Linked DNA regions of Caenorhabditis elegans. The protein of the gene in region 1 purifies or fractionates together with the protein of each later gene. This does not show direct contact. Each region holds a gene or a part of one and is shown on either strand. Other genes may lie near its edges.

Region 1 (3,121 bases):
GAGGAATTTGGGGCGGGGCGGCGGTATGGTATGGGAGAGAAAAGGGGGAAAGGTTGAGGCTCTTAGCCTATATTAAAAAACATTACAATAAAATCAATTATAATCAATTATTGCATTCCTTGGCTTTTGCTTAGAGGTATGAATCATCAAAGAGGTTTCATACACTCCCCGCGCCGCACGATGAGTAGCCTCGGATTTTGTTTTGATCTCCTTGTTGAGCTTGAGTAGACTGCCTGGCTTGAGTAGACAGCTTGGCTTGAGTAGATGATAAGATTTGATGAGTGTGTGATGATGATGATCTTGACAGCTTGCATTACTTTTGATCTTCGCTTCTTTGAATGGGATCCTCGATACAGATGGAACAATGATGATTGATCCTTTTACAGTACGTACATGGCTTTGGAGTACATTGATGTTATCATACCCACAGGGTTCTTATGAGGTCTTTATATATTTTACTAACATGGTGTAGCGGTTATGTTACTTATGAGTTTATTATTGGAAGTTAAAGAATATAAAGAATAATGAGGATTAAGATGTAAAAGATAGAATAAAGATAGAACAGAATGAGAGCTCACACCATCACCACTCAGGAACCATCATCACCACCACACTACCTTGCTCTTCTCTTCTTTCTTCTTCTTGGTGTCATGGGCGTGTCCAGAGGGCGTAACCAGATGACATGTTACTAGGGTTTCTAGGTGCAACAATGTCTTCCTTCTCGTTTTGCCAGGCACAAGTGGCAACGGTTGTCTTTGTCGAGGATTTTCTTTCTTTCGAAAGTTCCTTTCGTGTGCCCGCATCGATTGGAATGATGATGATAATGGCAGTACACACATCGCGGTGTCTTCTCCTCCTCATCCGTCGTGAAGTCCCTCATGGGAACTTTCTTATCGTTTTTGAACACTGAGTTCTTCGGTTTCCTTCGAGGAATACTCGGTCCTTTGTCGACCTTTCGTGGGATGTTCCCCTGAAATTCTTTGGGATCGCTTTTCAAGGGGAGCTTGCAAACTCTTGCATACAGATTTCACATAAATAGTTGGCTGATTGTTCTCTTCCATCATCACTTCTTTATATTCTTGCGAATGATCGATGAGCAAATTATAGGTTGAATCTCTATTGAGGAGTTCTTCAAAATCGAAATCAACTGGCTCAGGCTTCGGATATCCGTCCACAGTTTCAATAATCTCCAGATCATCGTCGTCGTCACTCGAGCTCCTGAAAATAATCAAATAAAATACTGCGTAATATGAAATTGACAGGATATACATTTCAGTTCTCGCTCTTTTCGGAGATCTAGGAAGAGAAGTCGCCGAATCTACGCCATCTTCGTCGCTCTCGGCTTGGTTCGTCGTCTGACTTGCATTCATGACCATGTGCACGTGTCGACCAGCCTTTCGGTGATATGCAGATGTTCTTTTCATTCTTGCCGAATGACTGTGGTCCGCCTCCAACTTCAGCTTTCCATCACGTTATGCATACTCGCAAATTCGTTTGCCATCATTGAGCACGACAATTCCATCCGTTTGAACTTTGTAAATCACTATTCGTTAACTCAAAAACCTTTTTAAAATTTTTTACTGTGTCAGAAAGTCGTCCGAAACTTTTCCAGCAAGCCCAAGCATCACTCGGAGACGGCTTTCAATACTGTAATTGTCCAGTTGATCCATGTTTGGCGCAAGCTTTTTATGGAATCTAAATCTAAATTTATTAAAGAGAACCAGGTATAATATTCTCACTTTCGATAATAGGCTCCATCCGAACATCTGGCATTTTCTTTTTTACCGAACTCCATGAAAACTTTTGTTGCCACCAGTGGCTCATTGGCTTCTTTCGTCTTTTCAACAAGAAAAGTCATCAATCTTACGTCATCGGCGGTAGTATGTGGAGCTAAATTTCCCACCCCCAGCCAGGGAGCTAAATTTCGCACCTGCCACCAAACCGCGTTCATGCACCGATTTTTTTCAAATCTATATCGTTTTCTTTGTTTTTGCCGATAAGTTTGATCAGGTTTCCCACAAAAACCTCCTCACTCTTACTATTCAATCTCTGTAGATAGTTTTCTGCTTCCGTGGAATTTTTTTACTTAAAGTCAGTAATCATATTGCAGTGTTTCTGTTCTGTGCACCAAAGATTTCAATTCCACTTGACGGAGTTCTTCGTCATTTCAATGATGTGGATGAACTGGTGGCGAGATTGAGGAGATGGCGCGACGGAATTCGTCGCTACATAGTAGTATGTGGAGCTAAATTTCCCACCCCCAGCCAGGGTGCTAAATTTCGCACCTGCCACCCACACTGCAGGGAAAGAAGGGGGAGAGGTGAGTTCAGTTACGGTGATGGCCGAAGGCCAGGGAGCTAAATTTCGCACCTACCCCACCCATGAGAGAAAAGGGGGAAGGCTGGAGTGATGCCGGGGAGCTAAATTTCAAGCCTAGTCAGGGAGCTAAATTTCCCGCCTGCCACCCATGAGAGAGATGGTGGAAGGGTGAGATGTCGGTGGTTTTCAATTTTATATGTATTCTCAAAAGTTATCAGTGCATTCGGCGCGGAATTTTCAGCTTCAAGATTGAAGAATAAAGTTAAGGAGATGTATCAAATTTAAATGTTTGAAGAATTATTCAGTTTTTTGTCGAAACTTTTTTTATTTTCAAAGATTTTCACAAATGATAAAAGATTCCATTTTCCATCCAAATTGTTTATTAAACAAATAAAACGAAAACAAAGCTTTTATTCAGAAAAAAATGGAAATTGTAATTTATAACTTGAATGGCGAGGAGACCAGACACGGTGGCACTTGAATGGTGACTTGAATGGCAAGGAGACCAGAAGCATTTATTCTGTCCTGTAAACGGTAGGGTAAGGTAAAAAAAGACTAAGAAAAAAAACTCACCATACTCTAATGAGTCCTTCAATCTCATCCAGGGCCTCGAGATTGAGAATTATTTTGCGTAATTCTCTGTTCTCCTGACGAAGAAAACGATATAGATTTGAAAAAAATCGGTGCATGAACGCGGTTTGAGTGGCAGGTGCGAAATTTAGCTCCCTGGCTGGGGGTGGGAAATTTAGCTCCACATACTACTGAAAGTCGTCCGAAACTTCTCCAGCAAGCCCAAGCATCA
Region 2 (3,538 bases), on another chromosome or scaffold:
CCGACTTTTAATAAATTTAATTTTTCAGCTGAAATGTCAGGTTTCCCAGCAAAAAGTTGCTCGAAAGTGACGTCATCTTTATGATAACTTCCAGAACCTTCTGCGATCCGTCTGGAATGTTCCAAATAACCTTCCGTAGCCTTAGTCCGTAATCCATTAATCATTGCAAATCCGACTGGAAACAGGAAGAAGCTCGACTCATCCACCCAAAACTCGACGTTTTCATGCTGAACCTGCCGATCTTTGGCCTCTACGGAAGGAAGATCTTCGGGATAATCCTGAGCGGTGACCATGACCATCAGACGGCGGCCAAGGATCCTGAGGATCCGTGCGACACGGATTTCTGTTGGCTCCAAGTAGTTGAGTAGCTCGACGCGTTGATTCAGCCGGAAACGAGATGGGCGGTGGGCAAGGTGGCGGAGTTGGTCGAAGATTTTTGGCTCAGAGATTCGATTTTCGTGCAGCTCGGCTTGAAATTCCTGCAGGAAAATTTTTTTAGGAAATGGGAAAATCAGAAGGGTTTTTTGGAGTTTTTTTTCAGTATTATTTTTTTTGTTGTTTTTTTGAGGCTTTGTTAAAGTTTTTAGGTGAATTTTTTTTGTTGATATTTTTGGTTTGTTTAAGAATAAATCATTTTTTGAAAAAAATTCGTTTTTATATTTTCGGTTTTTTGCTGGTTTAGTTAAAAGTTTTTTTTTCGGATTTTCAGGTTTTTTGACAAAAATTGATTTTTTTTTTGGTGTATTTCTTAGGTTTTCGGGTTTTTTTTTTGGTTTTTGACGAAAAATTTATTTTAAAAAAAACGGACTTTTTTGCAAAAAATATGGGGTTTCTTAAAAAAAAAAATTTCAATTTTTTTTGTTGGATAAAATTAAAGTTTCTTTTATGGTTGATTTTTCGCCTTTTTTCACATTCTCCACCAGAAAAAACATGAAAAAAACCAGAAATGAGTAGTTTTGAGCAATTTTCAGGCAGTTTTTCCGCTCAGAAAATAATTTTGGCCGGATTTTCATGGTTTCTCACATCCAGAATCTCCTCTGTTGGCCGTGGTACGGGCGGTGCAGGCGTAGATCCACGTCGCCAAAATTTCGGGCATTGCATCGGTTTCAGCAAGCTCAGTGGCCTGTATTGAAGCCATTTCATCGCTGGATCCTGCTTGAGACCGCTGAAATTTCGCGTTTTTTTTTGGAAATTTTGTTGAAAAATAACCTTCCAATATCGAAAATATCCTCTGAAAGCATATGAAACCAGCAGGGTCTTCTATTAAGTTCCCCCACAAATTTAATTGCCACGTAGAAGCCGCAGACAGCAGTCACCTCGCCGAACCAGCGGATTTCTGGAGATTTAGTGGTTATAGAAGGATCCAGAGACGGTCGGACGACTACTTCTAGCTGAAAACATTAAGATTATGGCTTTAAAGTTTTTTAAAAGAAAAACCAACTCGAAATCCAGGTTTTAGGTGCTGATTTAGCTTTTCCAGCGGCAAACAACCCTCCAGCGCCTCGACAGGTAAAAATTGAGTATTTCCATCATAATTACATCGGAGTTCATCTGACCATGTGAATGTTCCTTCAATTTGTGGCTTTGGAATCCGCTGGGCGATTTTCTCAACTGGATTTCTTCGACGATAGAATAGCCGTTCTTCGGTGAAATATCGGTATTCTGCTTCTTCAAGTTTGTAATTATATTGACGCTGAAAGTAATAAATTATGTTTTTCGATAAAAATGCTTTTAAAATTACCTTTTTATTCGAAAAATTCATTGATTTTAATTAAAAATCTATTTAAATTGTTTAAATTAAAAAGTTCCAAGCTTCTGTAGTTATCGCGTCGAGACCCAACACACTAATTACCACATGCGCCTTTATATAAATTTTAAGAAAATCAACATTTTAAAAGATTTTTACAGTTTTTTTGTCGTTAAATTTTTCGAAAAAATGATTTAAACTCACAGTAAACTTGTTTGAAACTTGAATATTAAAATTTCACAGTCAATGGGTTAAATTTCAAGACTTTCCCACTGATGATACGGTAGGCGCGAAGTACGGTAGTTTGTTTTGTTTTTTTTTATTTTGCCGCCGAGTGATTCAAATTTGAATTTATATCATCCGATTTTTTGATTTTTTCCTCAATATTTCTCGATTTTTCAGCTTTCAGTGTGATTTTCCAAGAGCCGTAGCTCGACCAGACGACGGAGAGCCTGAGGCTGGTCGCCAGAAGCACTATGAAGTGTGGGTTTTTTTTAAAGCATAATTTGCATTAATCTTCTAATATTTTAGCCACCCCACACCGTCCACGAACAAACTCCGAATCGAAGCTCGGGGCTCGCGAGCAGCTTCTCCGGGACTCTATACGAGTGGGTTTAAGTTCTTAATTTCAAATTTCACTCATTTAAAAATTTTATTTTTTAGCTTCAAGTAGCTTCGGAGCCGTACGTCCACATGACAAAGGAATCCACGTGGGACGAGGCGAAAAAACTGGCGATCAGTCTTGAAAAGAAGCCGGACATTGTCCGTAAAGCGATATACAATCGTCGTCGCTTCGTCAATGAAAAGATAAAAAGTGCGCTGGTCAAGCGCGAAATCATCGACCCAAGAAGCCCGGCAATCCATGAAATAGCAGTGGCGGCGGAGGTATTTTAAAAGAAAATCAGACAAATTTAATATCTAATTATTCCCCATTTTCTTGCAGACAATCGCCATAAACGTTGTGCACTTCTTGGAGACTCATCACGCAAAAATACTCGCTGAAATCAAAGCGGCCGCCGCTGGAGCCGGCGCCCAGCTCCGAACTGCATGAATTAATTCAAATTAATATTTTTAAACTCATTTTTCACACAAATAATCATTCATGTGTCCATTTTTCACTCTCGAAACCCATATACCCTCACTCTAAATATCAATATAATGCACATTTCTCATAGTTTTAATCTGCCCTTACCAATTAAATCTTACCAATTTTCCGCCATGATCCCTTTTTCCATTTTGAATAAAATTCGACGACGATTTTTCCATTAAAACAAGAAATATATAAATAGATTCAAAAGTGGCGCTTGTGTCGCTCAGCGGTCTCCTCCACTTGCACACTATCTCACCGCGGCCTTCCAATTACTCGTCCATTTTCCAGCTGTAAAAAGTTTATAAAAACTGAAATAAATGCAATTTTCAGCAGAAAATCGCTGAAAATGCGGCAAATCGTCGAGCTAAAGTCACTTTTGACTTCGGAGCCAATTAAAGCCATCGAGCTCTTCGATAGGCTCGTTGGACAAGGTTTGAGCCGAAAATCTAAACTTTTAAGCTGAGATTTCTTTTAAAAATCCCTTCCAGATGCCGACACAATCACCCAAGAAGCCTGTGGAACCCTCGCCAACTATATCCGGCATTCCAGTGTTTTTAAGCGACGGCTTCTGTTCACGGAGCTCCAAAAATGCTCGTTTTTTGCGAAATTGTGCATTTCGTTTCAATTTCACAGCTTTGAAGACACAGTTTTTCCGCGAAAATTGATTTTCGAACGATTCAGCGTGTTTTGCGGTGAACTGG

The links.
Region 2: the proteins of ZK402.1 (region 1) and Y48G1A.2 fractionate together in Caenorhabditis elegans (co-fractionation; one large-scale study listed by BioGRID). This does not show direct contact.

What each region holds. Positions count from the first base shown.
Region 1 is NC_003284.9:1,402,574-1,405,694, reverse strand, and holds ZK402.1 (Protein FAR1-RELATED SEQUENCE), read right to left. Parts: upstream 1,425-3,121; coding exon 1,270-1,424; intron 1,219-1,269; coding exon 1,023-1,218; intron 971-1,022; coding exon 698-970; downstream 1-697. Other genes in the region: ZK402.2 (SPK domain-containing protein), read right to left, coding at 1,578-1,695, 1,740-1,951.
Region 2 is NC_003279.8:345,352-348,889, forward strand, and holds Y48G1A.2 (Transposase), read left to right. Parts: upstream 1-2,117; 5' UTR 2,118-2,223; coding exon 2,224-2,230; intron 2,231-2,278; coding exon 2,279-2,355; intron 2,356-2,410; coding exon 2,411-2,632; intron 2,633-2,690; coding exon 2,691-2,798; 3' UTR 2,799-2,953; downstream 2,954-3,538. Other genes in the region: mbtr-1 (Malignant brain tumor repeat protein 1), read right to left, coding at 1-479, 1,024-1,165, 1,210-1,391, 1,442-1,693, 2,954-3,013; Y48G1A.1 (BTB domain-containing protein), read left to right, coding at 3,184-3,268, 3,326-3,538.